2 linked regions of the Nothobranchius furzeri genome follow. The protein of the gene in region 1 interacts with the protein of each later gene in a biochemical or structural test. Links are inferred from orthologs where the notes say so. Each region holds a gene or a part of one and is shown in the gene's direction. Other genes may lie near its edges. The genes, in order: fyb1b and skap1.

The links.
Region 2: the proteins of fyb1b (region 1) and skap1 form a complex in vitro, tested with the Homo sapiens proteins (2 studies listed by BioGRID and IntAct, with this or other methods). The link is inferred for Nothobranchius furzeri from reciprocal best matches to the Homo sapiens genes FYB1 and SKAP1.

The regions. Positions count from the first base shown.
Region 1 is NC_091746.1:50,403,807-50,416,296, reverse strand, and holds the start of fyb1b (FYN-binding protein 1), read left to right. Parts: upstream 1-5,104; 5' UTR 5,105-5,294; coding exon 5,295-5,297; intron 5,298-9,381; coding exon 9,382-10,354; intron 10,355-12,490. UniProt on the Homo sapiens protein: Acts as an adapter protein of the FYN and LCP2 signaling cascades in T-cells. May play a role in linking T-cell signaling to remodeling of the actin cytoskeleton. Modulates the expression of IL2. Involved in platelet activation.
Region 2 is NC_091756.1:50,182,075-50,194,564, reverse strand, and holds the start of skap1 (src kinase-associated phosphoprotein 1), read left to right. Parts: upstream 1-6,153; 5' UTR 6,154-6,309; coding exon 6,310-6,349; intron 6,350-7,224; coding exon 7,225-7,330; intron 7,331-8,615; coding exon 8,616-8,641; intron 8,642-8,739; coding exon 8,740-8,841; intron 8,842-12,490. UniProt on the Homo sapiens protein: Positively regulates T-cell receptor signaling by enhancing the MAP kinase pathway. Required for optimal conjugation between T-cells and antigen-presenting cells by promoting the clustering of integrin ITGAL on the surface of T-cells.

The DNA.
Region 1 (12,490 bases):
AAACTTGATCTAACAAAACATGAGTGTGTGACCTATTTTTTTTGGGTGGCAACTTTTTTGGGGGGCCAGGCGACTGGGTGTTACTGAGTAGGGCTAACATTTATTGGTGTCTACATTTATGTTTAGGTTTATGTCTAAGCGGAGACTGTTGCTGATCTCTGCTCCCTCTGATGATGACTACTCCTTCCAGCAGCAAATCTCTGCTCTCAGTGGTCAGGAGTGCAGCCTGGGTGAGTTTCTGAGTATCTCAGCTTCTTTTCTGAATCATGAAAACTTCATAGAGCCAGGGTTACCCTCTGATTATGAGGACCGCTGATCTTGTTTGGCCACCATTATACATGCTGTTCACTGGAGCATTTTTAATAACATTTTAAAGTTTACAGTTTTGTGAGAAAGTATTTATCTCCTCACAGGCGTCTTTTTTCCCCGTTTTTGTCACATTTAAAAATTTCAGATCAACAAATAAAAAAATAAAGAAGACAAAATGCATTTTATATTTACTCAGGTTTTAACAGATAATTAAGTGTTTCTTAATCTGAAACATTCAAGTCAAACAAAACAATCTAAAAATCTTTTTAAGGTGGTATTATTTTCACATAACTTCATGCTTTGTGTGCTCTTTTAACCCTTCAGGTATTCGCCACTTTGCCATGTTAAAATTGACTGGAAATGGAGAAAAAGCATCAGGGACTGTCGAGTTACTCCCAATAAATGGTACGTAACCCTTTTACAGAACTGTGCAAGTGCACAAGTCAATATTGCTACCCAAAATAGAGATATTTTTCACAATATTGTGACTAAAAATTATACAATAATTTCATAATCATAAGCTGTGGCAAACTTTTGTTTCTTCATCAGCTTTCACTGTGTGTCATTTCCTTTTCCAGGTCGTAGTCAGAGTGAGGTAGAGCCATTATCACGCGACATGGTGAACAACCTGAGAGAACAGCTCAAAATCAGTAAGGACTACTTCAGTTTGGTGGTTGTGGGAAAAGACGGTGATGTCAAGGCATGGTTCCCATCCCCCCTGTGGTCCCTGGATAACATCTATGACCTGGTGGACTCTATGGAGCTTCGCGTCCAGGAGGCAAAGCTCCAGAAGAGACTAGGGATCAGCTGCCCTGAGACTGGAGGAGGAAGAGGTGGAGGCAGCGAAGAAGGGCGCTATCCTGGATATGACGAAGAAGAGGCAGAAAAGATGTACATGTAGTGGAAAGAAATAAGTAAACCATACAGGAACAACTGAAATAAACACGTGTGACTCAGAGGAAAGAGTTTATTAAAACAACATAAGTAGAGTTGATGCCACAACTAGAAGGATGGATATTCTCTAAATTAGCAAGAAATAGAAAAATCAGCTCTAAATAGTGAAACACTTCCCCACATATGTACATGAAAAAAATTTATAATTGTCAAATAAACAAATGATCCTGCCTTTAACTGTTTTTAATTTAGAAGAGAAAATTTCACATGAATTCTCCCCAAAACAAACAAAAATAAACCTTCACAATTCTTCAGAGTTGCTGAAATGTTTAGAGCGGCAGGCCAGACATAGTTAGAGTTAGACACTTGTTGGAAATTTTAAAGTATGGTTCACTTGTTAAATTATTACATTAGCAGTGGTCTCAAGGAATGAATGTCTTGTAAGTCGTACTCTGAGGTAAAAAAGGCCAGATGGACTTGTTTCGGGACCTAGCAGAATGCCACATCAGAGGAGAGCAGAACACAGCAAGACTTGGAGTCTTTCCCAATATTTGGACATCTTGACTCTGATTGGCTAACAGCAACATGACTCTACCACTGACTCAGTTTTTTTTTGCAACGTTGATGTTTTATCTCCACAAATAACACAAGCCTTGAGAAGTTCTGCTGTGTGGTAGAATTGCTTTTGCTAATGGTTAGCTTCTACTAGCCGAAATGTTGTGTCTGCTGTTGCCTGGATGCTAAACCAACAACAGCCTTCCCCATCTTGAGTCAAGATGGGTGAGTCCATGAATGTTAACTGACAATGTGACAAAGATCTGTCAGGATTTTTTGAACCAAGTGTTTTTCTGTCTATTTTCTATCAGAAGCTAATGCAGCAGATAGGTGTAGGATACTGTTATGTTCAGCCTGCATAAAAAACTCAGAATGGCTGATTATAATCAGAAATAATATTTAAAAATGTTTTTTTCAGTGACCCATACCGTTAAAATAGTGAAACACGTCCTCACATATGTTAATGAAAATATCTTATCTTTAATTGTCAAATAAAGAAATTATCTTCTCTTTTGTTATTTTTATTTAAAGGAGAAAATCTCACATAAATGTTCTCTCTAAAAAAAACATCCTCAGTTTTTCATAGATTACTGCTGAAATATTTAGAGTGGCAGGCTAATCAGACATTAGAGTTAGGAATTGGGTGAAAATTAATTTTGGTAACACTTAACAATAAGGATCTCTTTATTAAAGTGACTTAGGTCATTGCTAAGCAATAATAAACTATTTAATAAAGTATTAAGAACTGCTTATGAAATGCATTACTAAGTAGACACCCCGTCCTTAAGGACACCTAATAGTTAAAATAATGGTTATGTTAATAAAGGGACCATTAATGTAAAGTTCATATGTGTGTGTGTGTGTGTGTATGTATATATATATATATATACATATATATATATATATATATATATATATATATATATATATATATATGGTCTTTCAAACTGGAACAGCTGCAGAATGTAAAACCTTTGTAGTTATTTTGAATAATAAGGAACATAATATATATATATATATATATATATATATATATATATATATATATATATATATATATATACATACATATATATATACAGTATATATATATACACACCATTTAGCTGTCATATATTTAAAAATGTCAAATTTCAAGTTGAAAGGAATATTTAGATTTGGCGATGATGAGAAAGATTAGTGAAAAAGGGCAAGTTTGTGAACTGGAAACACAGGATTTGATAGTAAACAGATACAAATATTACACACTGGGCCTTTAAGGTAACACAATGAGATTTAACCTTCTGCTTGCTGGAGCAACTCCAGAGACTGTGCTGGCCTCTATGTTATAGTCAGAATGCTGGCTGGGTATTTATTTTTACATATTCATAAAGTCAACATTTGAAGCTTCAGCAGTTATTATTTACAGTCTCAAAATGTGAGGAATTTCCATAACCTGTAGACTGCACTTAACTGGGTCCAGTTTCATCATAGAACAAGAAGCATGTGGTTAAATCTCATTAGAATAGATCATCTTAAAAAGTTAATTTAAGGTCACCTAGGCTGTGTTTGTTGCATAAGGTGGTTTGAGTTTAAAGACAATCATCTTCTTATGCTGACAAATTGTATGTGAGTTTTCTGTGGAAAGCAAGAATGCTTCCAAGTGATCATGAAGTTTTTGTTAGAGAATGAAAATCTTACTTGTTTACAATAAATACGTGTTAATCTGACCAGCCCTCCACACAACAAAATGTACTTTATTTGCCTCTAGTTTAACTGATTCTGTGAAGAATGTGAAAAGTGGGATCTGGAAAGTTTTGAAGCCAGTTCACAAAGGAGGCTCTAAGCTGAGCAAAAGCAAGACTGAGGTAACAAAAAATAAGTCAAAAACCTGAATTTAGAACAGCACACAAAGACAAATCTCTGACCCGATCGTCCAACGGAGTACAACTCGAAGTGTGTCAAACATGTGAAGTGAACAAGACCTTGATCGCAATCTAGCAGAGATGAAAGGAAACTGTTCTGAAGTGGAAACCCAACAACAAACAGGTAAGTGGAGATGAACAAAGACAGAAGTAAAACTAATTCAAAGTAAACAGGAAGAGTATTGGCCACTAAATAAATCAGGAAGTTTGAAAGGTCAGAACGCATGGCAACAAATTAGGGCCGCACTAACAGAACAGTAGCCTGGCAAGCCGTCCTCTAGTCTGGCCACGACCCATTCAACCCACCCAGTGGTGGGGCAAAATCTATGGTTGCCTGTCAAACAGTCTCTGCACAAAACTGGACAGCGCTATGACAAATCAGAGCAACAAACAATGTGGCATACTCATGGTAGACCTGCTGAAGCTACGATTGAGCGTGGCTAGGCCGACCTGCTGAGCTAAATCTTTTGCTACCGCAATGCTTGGTCTAGATTTCTAGGCAGATTTCTAAACACTATAAAAACTAGGAATAAAATGCGGCTGCAGTTTGCGACTTAAATTTAAATGACAAAAGACAATAAACCAAAACTAACAGCATTCAAAATAGTCCAGGATTCAAATTACAAAGAACTCCCGTCACAGAAGGATGGATTACCAAAATAAATAGCTATCAACTACTTGTGTGTAAATTTGCATCATGTTGCGCCTCCAAAAGACTCCTGGTCCCACCGAGAGAATCCTATTGCACACCACAGCCTTCTCTTTCTCACAGGCAAAAAACATCCATGTTTATATTTCTGATGTAAAACAGCAACCTGTGTTAGAAATAAAAAGGATTATTTAAACATTGAGGAAGAAAGTCTGAAAGCAACAAAGAACGAGTAGAACAAATCATCTTTGACCGCTATGTTGAACCAAATTCTGTCTATGTTTAGCAATAATGTTTTTGTTATTGTTATAATTTTGTATTATCGTTTTTTTTACTTTTGCATTATTATTTTCTCACCTCGTGCACTGGACAGGAAGTGGTCAGACTGCTGCACAGCTGCAGGTAACTGGTAACTTTGTTCTGTGACATTTATGGCCAGACTGTATGATACTGTCTTCTAAAGAGACAGATTTTCTCTCATGTGACATTCTGGATGGAAAAACATGTCATACAATAGGATTCAATGGAACAGTCGATGGTGTTGTTGCTTTTTTTTAAAAATGTGCCAAAGGGTGGCCTGCAGGGAGTTTGCAGCAGATAGGCAAATCCATAAGATCTAACCCAAGAGATAACAGAGGCAGCCTCACACCACACACACACACACACACACACACACACACACACACACACACACACACACACACACACACAAAGACACTCATTACTTAGAGAGGAAGTGTTCAGTTATAGACAAATGCTTATGTCACAACCAGAGCAGCTGAAGTCCCCCCAAACACACACACACACACACACTCACACTCACATCCACACCCTGAGTCAGATGCTTGGTGTCTCTCTCTCTCTGAACTTCAGTGCCGCTCTCACTCGGCCAGCAGCAGAAACTCACACTGAGACTCAGAACAAACACAATTCACCACTCGGTCCTCGGATCGCTCCACTCTGAGAGGACTGTTGCTGCAGAGATGGTGAGTACAACTTCATAACTGGTTACAACTTTAATTCAGTCACCTTCGTGATCCATGCATCTCTTTAAAGGGGATTTGATAAATTGCCAGTTCATCAGAAATAAGTTTTTCTTTGCGAGACTGTTGGGAAGTCTTATTGTTGTGCAAACTAGCGTTGTTTTGTTTGATTGGTTGTTTGAGTGATTTGATGAACAATTTCTAAGTTATTCTTATTAAAATCCCATCTTATCATGATTTTCTTGTACATTTGTTTATATGTAGACTTTAAAAAGGTTATGTCATGATGAAATCATCTAAAGTCACAGCTTTTATTAGCAGGGCATCTTGTCCTTCACCTTTTCTCTCTTATTTTTGAGCAAAGGTGTTTCAGTGAGCTTTCTCAGCATTTTATTCGACTTTAACTGTAATTAGACCTAAAAATGTTCTGTTTGCAAAAATAAATAAATAAAGATGATCTAATAATTCAGGTATTCCTAACCATGACAGCTGTGTCTTTAGAAGCTCTTGCACTAGTGCATGCTGGGAGGGAATTCCAGTATGTGACAAAATTTAGGGCTTTACAAAATTGCAACTGCTGTGCAGCTGCAAGAATTTTGTACAGAATATTAAGCAATTTTGTTACCTCTCCGTGACTGAGAAACAGAAGTACTAAGAGGAAACTTTCCTCTCTGTGTGCATTCTTCTTTTTTCATAAATATTTTTAGTCACATCTGAGGGCTGGTGTTGAAACACTTCAGCTCTGTGGGATGTTACTGGCAGTGACACTGACGTGATATTCCCCTATAAATACTTTTAGCTGGTAACACAATCTCCTAAGATAAACTTTCTCTGAGACCACAAAGGTGACTGAGATAAAGGCGTCAAAGCTAATCTAACTACTCATCCAATACAGAAGGTTTCAAATGAGTGAGTCATATAGTAAACCGGCTCTTCTACAGCTTACAAATGATCAGTTGAATGTTAACAGATAAATAACCTGTATTAAATGTGTTCTTTATAGTATTAAAGTTTATTACACACCAGATTGTGTACGAGGAATCATCAAAGATGGTTTCTACATTACGATAGTTGGAATTTTTTTCATTTTTGAGATTAGGTTTGAGAAGGCCATTCAGGAAATCAAGTAAAATACCACAGTCTCAGTAAAGCCCCAAAATAAGGTTTCTAATTTAAATAACATTGAGCAGTTTTCTGCTCCTCTGCCCTACTGTTTGAAAGGGAATTACAACGGTCGTAAACAACCCTGCTGTAGTTAGTGCTAACAACGAGCTAACGCTAACATGAGCCAACTAATACTAAAATAAACCACAAAGTAAAAGAATTCACATTGTTGGACAAAAAATATTATTACTTACAAGTCCAGCAGCAACAAAGCCAGGTCACTATCAGTCCATGATTTTGTAGCCTCCTTTAGCTCCCTCAAGGTCGTGCCGATATTCACTCTGGTTTTAGCTCTTTGCTTCGCCTCCAAAGACATTGCTGTCTTACTTTTAGGCCCAGGCTCCACCTGTCAACAGAAAAAGCAAACATTTTCTTTTTCTTCTTCTTGTGCTTTTTATCGGTGATTAGCAAACTCAAAATGCTAACCACTAGCATTACAGCTAACAGCCACAAAGCAGGTAAAAAAAAACTTCCCTCAGGACATCTACCTGCTCCACAAAACTATTACATGTAGTTTTTGGTCTGCAGAGCACTGCAGAGTGGTGTCAAACATAAAACCAGTCAAATTTCTAACACAACAATCACTGAGATCAATGTTAAAGTTCTAGTTTAAAAAGTTTTTGTTACTTTGGTATTTTCCATCACCTTTGAGTACAGCAAAATGTTATTGAATGAAAACATTCAAAAAATTTAAATGCCACTTGAACACCAATATTCATACTGACTTTAAAAGCTAATTACTTTAAATGCCATTAGTTTCCTGTTCACCGTTACACTTCACCCCCTGCTGTGTATTTTAGTCCTCCTCTCTTTTTACTGCTGTGGAGCAGGAACAGGAGAAACTGAGCTTTTATCTCCACTTCCTGGTGAAGTTTCTGCCCCAGCCAAACCAGCCTTTAGAATAGGTGCGGCTGCTGCTTTGTCTGTCTGTTTGGAAGCTGTTGCCAGCTTGAAAACATCCTGATAGGTCAGTGACCTTGTTCATATGACAAACTGTCATTTGAACAGTCAATTCTGAAGAGCTCCATGGCCTTTTTGGTTCAGTCCTACAGTCAGTGTAAACGTTAACCTGTTTTCTGTGTCGCTGAGAGGGTCTGCTTGAACTTAAGATAGAAATGTGTTTGATAGTCAACCCTCCTCCAGCACTGCAAATATTTAGTTTTGGCACATTTAGCTAATTTGCAACATTATGTGGCTAACTGCACTGACCCAGGCAAACCAGGAAGTTGGTGCAAACTGTAGTTTGAGAAGTAGATGTTATTTTTTCCTTGTGTAACTGTAACAACCTGCAATAAAGAAGAAAAACATTATATATCATCTGGTTGACTTAAAATGTCCTTCTGTTTGATGTCCTTTGTGACCAGATAAAAAGCAAAAACATATCTTTTGTCATACTTTTCAGCAGAGCGTCTTCTCTGTCATGTATGCTTTAAAACATTTTAAAAGCACTGATTAACTGCACACTAGAACCCATGGTTACTGATGTTTGTGAGTCTGTGTATGAGAATAATGTTTAAACGATGCATAAAATTATTGCATGTTTACATACGTTGCATAACTAGTGACATCATCACGAAAATGTTATAAATGCCAGTGTTACTAAACTCTATGACTAGTTTTGGTTCTTATTTGCACATAATGCATCAGAATCTTCCAGTCCACACTCACTAAACACTTTATTAGAAACACCTTCCTAGTACAAGGTTGGACCTCCTTTTTCTTCTTTTCACTGCTTTAATTTTTCATGTCAGATTCAACAAGATGTTGTAAACATTCCTGAGGTTCTGGTCCATGTTGGCATGATAACATTTCACAGTTCCATCCATGATGAGAATCTCTCTCTTTGAGAGGTGCTATATAAAATATCTTCTACTTCTTCTTCTTCTTCTTCTTCTTCTTCTTCTTCTAAAAGTTCGACTGGACAGAGATCTGCAGATTGTGGAGGTCATTAGGGTCGAGTGAACTCATCGTCATGTTCTAGAAACCTGCTATGATCTGAGCTTTGTAGCATGGTGCATTATCCTGCTGGAAGTAGCCATCAGAAGATGGGTTCATGTGATCATAAAGGGATGGACCTGTGAACTCAACAAAGCATTTTCATCCACACAGCTGCTGATCCTGATTCTTTTCAAATCATCTCTAAGAGACATTTTAGAGTCTCAAATTAAACTGAACACACATGTTTTGGATGTGGAGAGCACCCACTCACACATGAGGAGAACATGCTAACTCCCCTGCAAAAAGGCTGTTGCCAGGCTTTGAACCTGCAACCTTCTAACTGGGAAGCAAAGTTTCTTCTTCATTCTACTGATCAGTTTGACTTTCAGCAAGTCATCTCCAACAGCTCTAGGTGCTGGCAGCATTGCCTTACTCCCTTGTGATTGGCTGATTAGCTGTTTGTGTTTAAAAGCAACAGAACAGACGTGACAAAGAGTCTGGCGAGGGTAGCGTACAGATGTTGATTGACTGTTTGTGTTTCTGTGTCTTGACCCTGTTGACAGCTGAACATTTTCAAACTCAAACATGTGGTTTGAACTGTTTGAGTCACAAACAGACACGAGCAGCTGCTTTGAACATTTTGAGTGATCTAGAGAGGCAGGAAAAAAACTGATTGTTAAAAAGATTTCTAATAAAAAATGCATGAAAAAACAGCTTGAAAGCAGTAAAAACTATAGCGTGAGAGGAAATATGCTAATGTTTGAGTGTTTCAACTTTCTGTTCCTATTTTGTTGTTATTTGAAGTGTCTGAACATCTTTTTTGTGTTCATTCCCATTTTCCCTTGCCCTTCAGTTTTGCTTTCTTTTTGTCTTAAGATCAAGCCAAGACCAGTTTTAGTTTTCCTCTGATTTACTGTTTGTGACATTTTAAACTATTTTGAATCAGTCTTCCTCTGATTGTTTTTTTTCTCTCTCAATCTTATAGGATAGCAAAGCTGATGTAAAGGCAATGAGGGCTCGTTTCCAAGCGGGTGGGGCGAGCACTGAAGACACTTCCTCTACATCTCTTGGACGCCCAAAACAACCCGTGCAATCCACTCTCTCTGGTCCAACCGCCCAGCGTAAGCCTGTTTCAGGGAGCCTATCAGGGGGTTTACCTCCCAAACCATCTACTTTGAAAGCCACACCATCCAGTAAAAATGACACAGACATCACTGAACCAAACAAAATTAAAGCCATGGCTAACAGGTTTGGCCCCTCCCAAGATGAGTCCTTGTCCCCCAACAAAGCTGTTATTACTAATAAACTGCAGTCAACCTTGAAGCCAACTTTTCCCCAAACTCCTGATGCCAAAGGCTATGCACAGAAATCTCCTCTGAACAAACCCAGTTCTGAAATCAAACCCGTGCTCCCAAAGCCTCCAGGGGTACCAACATCCAAGCCCAGTTGGATGAAAGAGGACACCAATGGGGTTACAGCCTCAAACACCACCACCAACCAGCCCATATTACCAAACTTGCAACAAAAACCAATCAGCAACGTCCGAAAAATGTGGCAGCAGAGTGAAGACCAGGGAGATGCAAACGCAGAGACAGCGAACAAACCTCCGCCTCAAGTAAATGTTTCTTCTAAGCCGACCTCGAACTTCAAATCTGCTCAGAATATGTTCAACAAGGAGAAAGACATGTCTGAGTCGACAGAGAGCAGCATGGCCAGCAAACGGCCCTTTGCTGCTAGCAGCACTTTCCCTCCTCCTGCTCCTCCGGCCAGTAAAAAGCCAAGCATTAAAAAGCCAACGAAGTTTCCTCCTCAGGCCAATGGGACAAACGACGAGGCTGGACCAAAGCGTAACCCACTCCCTAACAGCTTAGCGTTGGGTCCCGCTCCTGCTAAACCAAACCGTCCTCCCAAAGTAGAACTGGAGCACTTTAAACACGGTGCCGAGGCCTCTGAGAATGGTAAGTAAGATAGAAATGTTTTTTTTTCTTCTTGTGAGCACAAAACAAACAAGGCAAAAACCCTTGAGCACAGAAGTTATTAATTGCCAGCCCCTAAAAGGGTAAAGTCACACTTTCGTGTTCCTCAAAAACACGGGATAGACACAAATAACCTACCTTATCAACTTCTTGCAGCATGCTTCAAACTGCATGTCGAATTCTTAGAGTAACATAATGTAACCAATTCATGCAGACTTTGTGTTCTTCAGGGTTATGCTGGATTGTTTAAACAACTTAAGTTTTCATTAACATCTTAGAAATTCTGCTTTTTTCTTCATAATGTGCAATGTAAAACAAATGAATGCCAAGCACCTATGGTATAAAGTGAAGAGGCTGAGTCGTTTGGCTTTTTATTGCAGTTGTCATGTTGGGTGGCAATTTCTTGACTCACAACATGCAGAATCAATTCTCGGAAACAGGTAAGTGAAAAAAAGGTTTTATTTTAAAACGAGAAACTAAGAGGAGTAACAGGGAACAGAAGAAGCTCTGCGGTGGTCGCAGGATTCCAGGGCAAGATTCTGAGGAGGGAAACAAGAGTGAATATCCGGTGGGAATAATTGGAGAATTTGTAGTTAGGCGGGAGCTTACTCTTTTCCGGCAGAGACAAAATGTATGGGGAGGGGTTGGTCTGGCCCGGGTGAGCTGCGGAGATCCAGAAGGCGATGAAAAACTGTTCATCCAGAGATGAGGTAGGAGCGGAGGTTGGTGAGGGCAGGTGAGCAGCTGAGAGCGGGCGGCCAGGGGAGGAGACAGCGTGATCTGGGTTGCAGGAGTCCGAGCTGGTTATGGAGATGGTGGAGTGTGGAGCGAAACCGGAGAGGAGCAGGGAAGAGTAGTCAGGGCTTTTCTGGCGGCAGATTTTCCAGCAAAATTCACAGGATCTAGTAAGTACACGGGAACTAGCAAAAACACAGGATCGAGACAGGTTAGAGGCTAGAGCTACCCAAACAGAGTAATCATCCGGCGTGGTGTAGTGTCACACTGCTTCTTAAATCCCCTGGGCCTTGATGACAGGATCAGCTGCAGCTGGTAGCTCTCAGACACGCCCACCTGCAGACAAGGCTCGGAGAAAAACAGGGTTACAGACAGGCAGCTCACCATGGACCATGACAGCAGTATTTAGAATTAAGCCAAACAACCCAGACAAAAATAAATGCTGCACTTTCAATAAACAAATCAGAACATTAGCGTTTAGGTTGTTAATCCTAGGACCGATGCCATCGTTTGCAGCTCCTGTTTTTTTTTTAGCAACCATTAAACAAACACATTAGTAGACAGCAATTAGTAAACTCAGACTTTCGTTTTACATTAGATAGAATAGAATAGAATAGAATAGAATAGAATAGCTTACTGATGAAACACGGGGGAAACTCACTTGTTACAGCACTTAGAGAATAATTTGAAGATAAATAACAAAGGTACATGTATGTACACATGGGCAGTAAACTAGTATTGTAACCTTCAACCACTAAAAACCATGAATAAAAACAAAAAACGTGGGTTCCAGAACTATGTAGCATACTGTAAGGGACACAGACATACTATGTAAATCCGGTATTGCACAGGTATTCAGCGTGTACTGAGTATTGCATTGATGTTATTGTGTAACAGGATAATGCCAGTACCAGTTAAACTGAGGAGCTGAACATTCTTGCTGCAGAGGGGATGAATGACCTACGGTAGTGTTCTTTTTAAATCTGGGATGTCTCAGTCTGCCTCTGAAGGAGCTGTCCATGGTCTCCACAGTGGAATGCAGAGGGTGGGAGTTTTTTTTTTAGGTCATCTTCCCTGGCATCCTCCTTTCACACGTCTCCTCAACTGAATCTAGTGGACAGGCCAGAACGGAGCTAGCTTTCTGAACTAACTTGTTTAGTCTCTTCCTGTCTCAGTCAGAGCTGCCTGCATCACAAAGACATCACAACAAACCAAATAAACAAGTATTATTTTACAAGAGTGGGGATAAGATTAAGTCATCTTTCAGAAACAAACTTCTCAAGCTTCTCAGTAAGATAAAAGCTACCATGGAAAATTTGGCTAACAAATTTGCTATAAACATTTTCATGCCTCTTAACAATGTTCTAGCACAGTATAGCTATA
Region 2 (12,490 bases), on another chromosome or scaffold:
TGATTTTTTTTAATAAAGCACATTTTCAATGTTCAAACGCCTTCAGTGTCACAACGTAATGCTTTGCTTTGTTAGCGACAAGATGAAAGAGAGTATTTCTTGTTTCCAGGCTGCTGGTTGAACAAAGAACGACACATAATGACATTGTTTTTTGTTTTGTTTTGCTTTCAGCTCCATGATGTCTGTTGATTAGATCATGGAAAAAGGAGCATCTCTTCTTGATCCCTTTCATTTACTTTTCTATATTAAAATAATATTTTTGTGGAGTCTTCCTCATGCTCAAATCAAAATTGAGTTGCATTTTGTAGATAAAGTGAAAAATACCAGGTGTTTGCTTGATTAAGAATCATTATTGCAAGTTGTGTTTATTGTTTGCAACAAAATGTTCAATCGGATAAAACCTGAATAATATTCAGCATGCAATCATTAGTAGGCCATGTCCGTCATGAATAATATCAATCACTTTTCACAACCATCATCAGTAAGACATTGTTCAGAGATGCTGTAACGAAATGAATGTCACACACTTCTCCTTTGTTTTGGCACCAAGCCTCCTTACAGCCCAGCTAGGGGGGCTCGTGACAACCATCCCCCATCTGAGTCAGGCTCAATTGGATCTGGAAGCAGCAGCTGACCCAAAGCTCCAGTCTCCTGGAACTCCCCCCTTCCCTTGCGACTGGATCTTTTCCCCACTCCATCAGCATAGTAACTGAGAGAGACAAGTGACTTGGCCAGGGTTAACGTCTTAACCCTTTGATGCATAATGGTCACTACAGTGGACAGGTACTCAAAATTGTTATTTATTTATTTTTGCTATAAGCACAGCTGTTGAAGACTTTATTGCATGTGAGCCCCTCCATTTGGACTTCAGTAAGTCAAGCCAAAATATTTCATGGTCAGAATGCACGCTGTCCACCAAGGTGGATATGTAATAAATTATTTGTAAATTAACAAAATGTTACAAAAAATATTTGTTGAAATTTGTTTAATTTACACCTAAAGATGAATGAAAAAAATTGTTTAAAAAATCATGGTTGAAGATTTCATAATTCATGCATCAGAGGGTTAATACTCCCCGGGATTGCCTCCAGGATCCAAATGGCTAGCCCCAATAGTTTTCCTCCTCTGTGCACCTGTCAGACCACTATGAGTGCACACCATTACAAAAAATAAAAACAAGAGCAGCTGAGGAGCCGCTAACGAAGCGGCACAATGAAATAATGAGGGGTGGTGAGAAGGAATGGTGCTCTCCTGTAATGTTTGGGGTGAGGAAAAGGGATACTCTGCACGGAGAAGCTGAAATGAAACCAGCTCCTTCCTTTGGAGCCCAGGAGGGGAAACCAGAACTCAATCAGTGTCACGTCACATGGTTCAAAGCGACCAATTCGATGCTGCCAGGAGGTTGAGAAATGCAAGGTGACAGTTCATTTTACCAGTGACAGTGTGTCGGTCTCGCTTGCTGGTTCCCCAGTCAATTTCCAGCGAGCGGTGAAGGTTGCTGGAGACAGACAGCAGCTACACCTCCTCCTCCTCCTCCTCTTCTCCTTCATACCACCACCGCTCTCTCATCGACCCCGCTCTGCTTTGTATTCCAATTAACTGGACAGGGGTAGAGGCAGCAGGATCACAGGCAAGATGTAGACGCATTCCTCTGGCATTTTCCCAGTCTCTCAATACCGATAGTGCTTGGCTTCCCTTTTCCTCTCTTCTCGGATTATTACAAGGCCAGTTGTTCCTGGGGAATAATTCACAGTCCTCTCTCCCTCCAGGGACAGTGAAAAATAGGCCCCTCTCACACATTCATACATCACATGTAATTGAGGCACCTAATCACTCAGTCACTGCTGGAACTTCTGTCCTTAACAGACACCTCAAATAATGCTGAATTAATATTTTGAAATGGCTCATATATTCTAACATAATACAATTTGAATGATTTTCCATTCGGTGCTTTCAGGGCTAACATTGATCTGAGCTGAGGTAACTCTTTGAGGCAGACTGAAGGTTGTGCGTTCAGATTTGCTCCTCTGTCGTTTCGCCTCCTCAGTCTTTCATCGCTTTTCTATACTGTCACCACCGAAGCACCCGCCCCTCCTTCCTGCACTCACATATGTTTGAGCAATGGGTGGTTTGGGAATACAATGATTCAGAGGAAATCCGAAAAGTAAACTGCCTCTTTTTATCTCCTCGAGCAGCACAAACATTTGCAGCTTAAGAGTCAGACCAAACACCCTTTTTTAAACATATTTAAATTGGGATCAGATTTGAGCAACAACTTGAGATGTTTGCAAAAGGTTTCACAAATAATGAGATTGAATTAAAGTTTATCCAACAAAGTTTCTTTTTTTTAGATGAAGTCAAATACAGGTTTAAAGACATGCATGCTTTATTTGTCCCTTTAAAATGTGCAAACCTCACGGCCTATCTGGAGAATGCAGTGTGTGCCTGTTTGCAGGACAGGATGCACACACACACACTGTGCCCTGAGGAACCTCCTGACTCTCTCCTGATGCTATCAGATCAGAGAGACCTGCCGTCCTTCCCCACACTGCAATGCAAATAAAAAGGAATGTGCTGATAAAAGGCCAGATCCTGGAGATGAGAGGGCAGGAGGAGGACAGAGGTAGCAAATGCTTCAAGGGGGGAGAGCCTCTTGGGGAGATGAGAGGAGAATGAGGAGTCAGTGTTGGTAGTAGTGGTAGATCACAGCCTTGCTCCCCCTCAGTGGCGTTTGATACAGGGCTTTTGTCGCTCTTTCAGAGGTGCATTGTTGGGTGGTGTAATCCCCGTCGGATTACAAAGAGCCTCCCTTTCCACATGGGGGGGCTGTCTCAGCAGGCAGGTGGCTGGGGGTCTGTGGAGCTGTCAAGGGGAGGGGACCTCTTTTCCAGGGGATGGGACCCCAGTTCCTCTTACCTTCACAGGGGCTTTTAGCTGGGAGGCCAGTCAGGCACAGGTCAGCGTGGGGACAATCCTGATGTGGGACTCAACTCAGCCTGACCCTGTGGATTCCTGTTGGGAGGTGACAAGGAAGGAGGCCTTCAAGTGACAGCTTCCTACCTTAAAAATCATTAAAAGTAAAACAAAACAACAACAATGAAAAAAAAAATTCAGAAAGTTGAGTAGTCCTACTACCGTCAGTGGTGGATTTAGCAATTTGGGGGCCCAAGGCAAACACAGACATGGGGCCCCCTTAAACTAAATTTCGGCAATCTTACTTTTAACTGGATTTACGAAACTCTCCCCTCTTCTGCCATGAGTTATTTTCCCTTTTTATTAGTCCTCCTCTTTTTGCCTGTCTTTCCCTCCCTTTGAGTGCTTTCAATATTTGCTCTGCTTTCTTCTTCCAGTCAGTGCTCCTGTGCTTTAGCCTTTTTTAATTTATTTTTAATTTTGGTCTATGTTTTCCTCCCTTTAAACATTTTCTATTGTCTTTCCTTTTCTGCTTCCTTTTGATGTTTACATTGAAAAACGATGTAACTTTTGGAAGTGAGGATAAAAGTGTTTTTAAAGCAAGCTGCTTCTTTCTCTTATTGGAGCTACTAGGATAATTCCATTTCATGCTTAATGTTTTGACTACCGCTTCAAGTTTGTTACGAATGCTCCCGCCTCTCTTCTTTCTCTTCTTCTTATTTGTGGTCTCATGGCACTTGGCACATGACAATTTGGTGCATTACTGCCACCAACTGGATTGGAGTGGAATGACTACCAATCGCTTCCTGTTTGTGCATCGGCATCTTAAAGGAATAGTCCATTGTGGCATAAACTGGGGTGCTGGCGGTCAGGGCTAGGAGCCCCCCCAACATAAGGGGGTCCCAGGCGGCTGCTGACCTATGCCTAATGGTAAAACTGCCACTGACTACCATACAAAATGCAAAACGAGCACTACTTCTACAAAATTTAAGACAATAAATTATTTGTGAAACATTTCAGCTGCTTGTGTCTTTCGACAACCTTTAATTTAAAACAAAATACATTATTAATGCATTTTAGAGCAACAACCACCAAAAATTGCAACGGTCTAACAAAGCTTGATAAATATTGTCCACATCAGCAGATTGAGATTTAGTTACTCAATTGCTTTCCTTTCCTGTGTTTCAGTAATACAGGATCAATAAGACAATAGCAGGAGCCACCAGTATTTCTTTATGTGCTGCATCTGCTGCCACTGTCTCTTCTGCAAGGGTCAATTGTGTGTGTAAAAGCCCAGTCCAGTTCAATCCATTGCTGTTCACTCTCTACTGGTAATCTGAACCATCCATCCACACCCTGTCAGATGTAGTGAGGGACCAATTTAGTGGCGCTGAATTCATGTGCCGGCTGAAATATTCTTGTTAGTTTTTTCTGCTTATCCTGAACATTTATGGGAGATTTAAACAGTAAAGTGAGAATTTCTGAAACACATTTCAACGAGATGTGCTGAAGACAACATTGTTTATTTGATTTAAAATTCAGTCGTTGCATCTTAAATTAAGTGTAGTTGTTTATTGGCTGCTAAAACCATCCAGACATGTATTTATCTTTAAACACAAGAAAGAATTATTAGACTGCATGTTTATCAACATTGAAGTACAGCATTACCCTGTTTATTTGTGCTTACATGTACTTGAAAGAAGCCACTTCACAAATCTGACATGTACAGTAAAATAAAACAAACAAACAATAATTGTTGTTTTTCACCTTATTGGTCGGCATGTTGATAAGAGACAGTGTATTGCAAAGCTTTATTGGTTAACTTAAATTCATAATGTTCAAGCAAAAACTCTGTAAAGCCTGATTTACAATTACAACAACTGCATCAAAATGTTTGCTGAGGGTACTTGAATGCATCTTCCTCCTGCTAGACTGACATCGCAAAAACACACTTAGCTAGCCCGTCAAGTTAGCCTCTGACCAAACTTTATGAGGTAAGATAATTGTGTTCAAGTCCAAGTTTTAAGTCCAAATCGTTCCTTATTAATCGAAGGCTAAGACAAATTAGATTTTTAATACATTTACACAGTGACCTTTATCACGAGTATGACGGTGCCAAGGTTAATTTCCGGTTTAACCATGCTAGCTTATGCTAACTAGCTAGCTACAAACACATTTTCCTCCTAATTAATTTTTTGCTGAAAATATAAATAATTTTTCGATAGAAATGCCAAACTGCAAAATATAGTTGAAAGTTTCTGGTTTGCTTTTCATTTACACATGTGGTAAAATGATAAGTGCATATTGTTCTGCTTCATCATTACATTGTGATGGTTTCATTATATAAAGCTAACATGACAAACTGACATTCTATAGTAATCTAATTTTATTACAAATTTATTGCATTTGCAACAGTCAACTCACCTGTATCTAGCCTCGATGGGCTTTGGATTTGTTGCTAAATGCTTTGAGATGACCTGTGTTGTGAATTGGTTCTTTCTTAATAAACTAAATCCAAAAAGGAAAAAAATGTCAAGTTTGTGGTTAAACTTCAAAGTTGAAAATTATTGGCAAATGGTTAGCGAATAGACTGTAATATAAAGGTGTTCCACTGAGGTGTTATATTTAATTAGGTGGTTTAATCAACAATACAAATGAACATTACCACAGTTTTTGGGGAATCTGCAGTGATCTCTGTATGAGGCCAAAAGACAACATATAGAGATCCTCAGGCCCATCAGTAGTACTGCATTAAAACACACATTTCTGAAATGGGTTCACACATTTTGAAAGCAATCTTCAGTGAACACACATCATTGCCAAGTGAATGCTGATTTCTTCCATGCAAGAACGATCATCTGTCTTATCACCTACCAACATCTGTGTCGTCTGTGTGGATAACCCGTGCTTTTTATGGAACAACATATACTTCCTTTTAGAGAACCGTTTTTAGAGGGTGGTTTCGATGACTTCCTGTACATAACACAACAGCAGGGCTCATTGTAGAAATAGATTTTATCGTTTGATTTGAACATGAAAGCACCCATACACATTTAGCACACTGAGCAGCTTTGCAGCATTGTGAGTCAGAGGTGTGAGCCAGGCTTTGGTGTGTTTCAAATAAGAAACCAGACTGCAGAGGAAGTTGTCATCTGTGCATCTGCTCCACCCCAATTGCAAATCTAGAGCGGAAGTAAAGTTTCAGTTGTAAGGGGTTGGATGGTTTGCCTGCCTGCCTGTAGATTTTTTTAGTGTGTGCCAGGCTTTCTTTCCTGTCATGGAGCTGTAGCAGAGTCTGGATGCATTAAAGCTGTTTGAGGGTAAAATTTTTTTATCAAGATTTAAGTGAGCAGAAAAGGCTGTTCCGACTTATTGTTGAGCAGGTGAAAGCCAAGAATGGGTGCCATCCCGAAAGAAGTCAAGAGGCTCTTGGATGGTAACATCTTTGTTTTATACTCAATCTTTCATCAAAACTACCAAGTTTCACTTTAAAATGTTATTATTTAAAGCAAAAGAGCTTTTTATATACAATATGATGAGGCAGAACTGTCTCAGTCAAATGACTATTATAAAACATTTCTACACTGACATTGAAGGGAAAGTAGAGTGACTTTCTAAAATAATTGTCTGGTTTACAGAAGTAAACTCTGGAACATATAAAGTTTTATATCCCACCTCCTCATTTCAGACGTCATGTACAGTCAAATGGTTTCCTTCGTTGTGGCACCTTATCATTTGATCACATTTGCATGTGCTGCCGAACCACTGGAAAAAAACAAACCTGTTTGCGTGTGTCGGTTTATTTGTGTAATAAGGGAACATAAAGAAACTGAATCGGATAAGTGATGTGGACCAACCTGTTTATTTTTTTCATTATCACATTTATTTGTGGTTTTAGTTCAGTAGGATCTTGAAATAAAATGTTCTTCCTTTTTGTTGGTTCCAGTTTTCTCACCTATTGTTCAAGTCATAGAAAAATGTAGCTGTTTATGTTTGGGAAAGTTGTGCAGCAGTGAACGTAGCAGGCAAAAATGAAGAATTTAATCATCCTGACAGAAAGAACAAACACATTAGGATGGCTGCTTTCTTTTTAATTAAATTATTTGGACATTTTTGTTGGTTTAAGTATAAAATAACGTAATTTTATGTATAAAACTGTAAACCGTCATTCAAAATGTCAATTGTAACAAACACAAAGCATGAAAGGTAGTTGTGTGAAGGCAATGTATGCAGTTGTGTTATTCCTCTGTAGCTTCTGATTATGAACTGTTTCCACTAAAATCTAACACTTATTCATATTTTTGTTTTTAGATTGTGAATTATTCATATCAGACATCCTTCAAGAGGAAGAACTGAGTGAAAACTCTCAAGAGACACGGAAAGTCCTCCTGAGCAACTTCTGGGTCATTTTTAGAAAGTAGGTTTTTTAATCTTGAATCTACAGACTCTTTACTGCTGAAGTGTGACGATGTAACCTTACAGCCTCCTCATTAAACATTTTGTTATTAACACAAAAGAAAAAACCTTAACTGTAATTGCTTTACATACGGTGTGTAATTTGCTTTAGAAAGAGCTCATTTCATCTAATGGCCCCAATTTAAAGACTTCCTTCTTGCTTTTATTTTTTATTATTATTTAAGGAATTTTTCATGGTGTTTTTTATAAACCTTACATACCTGCCAGTGTCACGTTACACAGCTATTGGAAATCCATGCAGCAGCTGACCCCTGCACACTCCAGAGGCACTACATTTTATTGCTGCTGCTCATATCTAGGCTCGTAAATTATAATTCCATGTAAACACGTAATGTGAAGTTGATGGTTTAGGAAATGCTACTAAAACAGCAGTGAATTTAGAAGATTGGGTTGTTTCATAGATTAGCGCTAACCTTAGCGCTAACCTTGGGACAGCAGTAGCTCAACAGGATGAGGGGGTTGTCCAGTAATCGGAAGGTTGCAGGTTCAATCCTGGCTCTGGACAGAGAATTCTGCTGTTGTGTCCTTGGGCAAGACACTTAACCCATCTTGCCTGCTGGTGGTGGTCGGAGGGACTGATGGCACCTGTGCTCGGCAGCCTCTGTCAGAGCGCCCCAGGGCAGCTGTGGCTACATCGTAGCTCATCATCACCATCAGTGTGTGAATGAGTGTGTGAATGGATGAATGATACACTGTAGTGTAAAGCACTTTGGAGTCCTTACCCTGAGAGGCGCTATACAAGTGCGGGTCATTTATCATTTATCATCATTTAGATCTAGGCTAGCTATTAGCTCATTAGACCTGAGGTGTGTAAGCCTTTTCTCTGAACTGATTCAGTTTAAGAACCCATCTACAGATCCAATTTCTACACAGAAGCAGACCTCTACATGGCTGAAATAAACTTTAACATTTTTAAAAGATCTTCTGGAAAACTCTTGTTTTACTCTAATCATGCATTTTAAGGTGATTTAAAGAACTGTATTTGAAACCAGAAAGTGAAACTCTTGCCTGTAGTCTGCTTGCTCTGTCCGGATGTTGTGGTGCCTGCAAAACATGTATGCCGACATGAGCTGTGTTACAGAAAACCTGTGGTTTTGTGGCTCTTTGTGCAGGAAACAATTATTACATTTTAGAAGCAATCTTGTAGCAAAAAAAAAAAAAGAAAGCAAAGAAAACGCTTCAGGTCGGTGCAAACGATTTACCTTTTTTGTGTTTCACTTTTCTAGATTTCCTCATGACTTTGCCTCACGATGTGAGTAAATATCAAAAAGTATCATGTACTGGTGCCTATGTACCAACTCATTGTCCCTTCTTTATGTTTTTATTTCACACACTTGAATAAAAACTCAGTGGATCTCAGAGAAGACGACGGTTCTGATGATAACCGCAGCTCCAGTCTGGGTCGTTCTGCTCACTCTGACACATCAGACTACCAGGATGAAGTCCCTGAGTGTAAGTTATCAACAATCCTGTTTTGGATCCCGCTCTGTGATTTCTACATGTCTGTAATTGCAGAATTTTTGCACAATGCAGAGATCTGAGCTCAAAATGGTCTAATTGCTGTGTAGCAATGGCTTTTTATTACTCCCCAATAACATACAATTCTAGCAGCAAACCACAGTCCAGCAGAATAAATGTAAGCCTCGGTAACGACATCCTGGAAAATATTAGGAACACGCGTTTACACTGAAAGGCTAAGTTCTGTATTAACAAAGGAAATGATGAAGAGGAGGCGTCAGCGCCACAGAAGGCAATGCCAAACTCCTCTGAGAAAACTACAGTTTTAGCACATTCACAAAGCTTCGCCTCACCACAGGAAGAGCAGGTGGATCCTTTTGTTATATTGTAGCACACCCTCTAATTAAATATAAAAAAAAAACAACAGATCACATCTGTGAATTTTACCTCCCTGCTGGCCTCCTACCTCCCTGTCCGGTGACATCAGCGGCTCCTCCTCCTCTTCCCTCCTGGACTTTCAGGTACCTTGGTGCTGGAAATATGCTGCTGGTGGGTCTCAGAGACCTGAATGGTGACCTATAGCTCCCTCCAGTGGCAGATTCGCCAGCAGGTTTCTGATCTCTGAGGGACGTGTGTGGATGGTGGGAGGAGAGGAGGAAGCCCACACAGAGAGGAGAGAGGAGGCTTTGTAGCTGCAGGCTAATGCAATGATTTATTGACCCTGAGCTCCTCTATTCTTTCGCAACTGGGTTTGAAATACAACACTGTACCTGAGGGGCCATGTGTGTTCCATTCCTCTCTCCCTTTATCATTCTTTCTTTCTATCTTCCTCTTTTTGCCTCCCTCCCATTCAGACTTTTAGTATTTCTGACTCTAATAGCCCTTGACGTGACATGCCGCAGGTGGGCGTTATGGACTGTGCAGCCTCAGGTGCCCATCTCTGCTGTTTCTGTAGCTGTTCTCATGAGATAAAGCAGGACGCAAGTTGGAATTTCTCACTACAAAAAAGGGAATATTTTCAGTCTTTTTAGGATACTGACGGTTAATGCCAGCTGGAAAAAGTCAAGCATAGAAGTGGCTTAATGAGCTTCATCTCTGCTCTCAGAAAAAAACACTGCTGCTTGTTTCTACTAGTTCAAAAAAAAAAACATCAAAGCAGATGGTGTGAGAATAGACCACAGTTACAGAAGACAATTATTTGATTTTTTTTTTTATTTCAGTGTGAATAAGAAGAGATTTCCTTTGGGAAACATTCAAAATCGAACCATAAAACGCTTAAAATGTCCCCTTAAGGCTTATGGATAACACTGGTAAATGGTGTCGCTGTGGAAGTGATTGTTTTTAACGCGTGCACACACACACACACACACACACACACACACACACACACACACACACACACACACACACACACACACACACACACACACACACACACACACACACACACGCGAAAATCCAAATTAGCTGCACAAACTGTAACATATATTTTTTTCTTAAGTTTTCCTTTTAATGATTATTTTTTTAAACGATAAACAACCAGATTGATGTTATTGTTTGATAAATAATCAAAACATTTGATGGGAGGAAACACCTTGCAGCACTGAGGCTGTTTTGTGTCTGCAGCTTTGTCGGCGTAGCGACAGGTCTGTCCTGACTAAAAGGGCATGTTGAGTTCAGAGTTCATCCAGTGTTCACTGCCAGCTGAAAGAAACGACTCGCATGTTTCTGCTGGGCGGATCTGTTTCAGAGGATGGGGGGGGGGTGTCAGTGGAAAATAATGGCTTCAGTTCTTAATGAAATCAGAGACATTTTTTGGAGGAGCAGCTATCCACGACACAATCTGGGGGTTCTTTAATATTTAAAAAACCTTTTTATGGCAGAAATCTTATTTTGAAAATTTATTTCGTGATTGAGAGGTTTGTTGGAAAAAGAACAGAGTAGAAAATGTATTGTCTTTGATGTTTGATTGCGTCTCTCTTTATGTGAGTCTACTGTACACAATAGAGACTTTGTGACTTGGAGAATGTATGAGCCGTGGTAATCGACCGCCTGCCTTCGCTGCACTGCCTTCTCTAACCAGTGAGTGAGTGAGTGTGAAGTCGATGGCTGCTTTTACTCGCAGGAGGAGCCTGCGCCGTTTGATTAGATGCGGTGGCCTGTTGTCTTCGGCGGGCTGGGTGACACCATATTTGTAATGGCTGAAAGGAACAGATGGAGCCTCCTTTGTTAGCCAGGGTGTCTGCATGGTAATGTGAACTGAGTTTCACCCGCCGACCGCACCGGTGACCTGACCGCGCCTGTAGCCTCATACACCCCAACTCCCTCTGCCTCGCTCGTAGCAGCCGCTCTGTGGGGACTAGCTCCCATTTTAAGGAATTTCCATTCCACCATCATTCCAGTACATTATGCATACATAAACAAATACAGGCACAAATTTCTCCCTCTGGCGTGAAAACGCTCTACAACGCACGTGCTCGCCCTCACGCAGACACAAATAGACCCCGGGAGACAGCTGGAGATGTGGGGCTTTTAGCCCCGTCATGCTGTTTGCAGGTCAAGTGTACGAAGTTGAAATGGCCTGTTTGTTTTTCTTTGATTGGGGAGCTCTGCTGGGCGCTCGCGGATGTTTGCTGCTGCAGCGGTGACAGAGCACTGCAGGAGGAGCTTTGTTCCAGGAGTCATGCAGGAAAAAAAAAAGATGGTTTTGATATGATACAAGTGCCTTGAGTGTGATGCACCATTTATTTGTATTACTCAGGTGTGGCTGTTTAAAAATAAATGATCTTAAAACTCTTGTTTTCAGGCCCTTTTGAGCTAAAAATAATCTGAATTAGATTGCTGTTTAAACCCTAAACATTTAGTTTACACATTTATTAAAGGTCTGCAACACTTTTAGCTATTTATGTTAATGTTTGCAGATTTATTTTGTGTAATTTAAAAAAATGTATATTTCTTTAACGTGCATGGAAACACAAACTGTCCAATCAGGATGCAAATTTTCAAAAGTTTCAAGGTTAACGTTGGAGAAATTGGACAAAGAAAATCCTGTTCTTTCAGGACAAATGCTAGAACTAGAAGCCAATTATTCACATTCACTTAAATATTTAAGATTTCGTTTTCTCTCTGTGGACTGGTTGATTAATAAAGTAATACTTTCAGCTCCAAAGGAACGTTTGTCCACGTGTACCAGCCAAGAATGGGACTCCTGTCAGCGATGGCTTTGCTGGTCCAATTTCCTAAACCAATTACTGGCGTCAGTATGCAGTTGGACAACCAATTTGAAGTTATGTCTCACTGTTGCCTATTCCTCATTTGAATATGAGGGGCCAATGCACAGTAACAACATTATTACACAGTGCCTGTAAATAGAATATTAAATCTAAATTCTGTCATTTTGGCTAAAGCTTGGAAAAGCCATTTAAGGTGGCATGTGTTTAAGGTGGCGTGTGTGTGTGCGCCTGGGCCCGTTGGCTGGTAATGCTGGGAGAGAGAAAAAAACCAACAAAGTACGCCAGCTGACAAACTAAAACTCTATTAGAGGTTTAATCTCCAGTGTTTAATTTGCCAACTGCTGTTTGTGTTTGAAGTCTGATTGTGGAGGAGGAGAAAGTTCACCTCCTTTCTGATTTCACTTCCAACC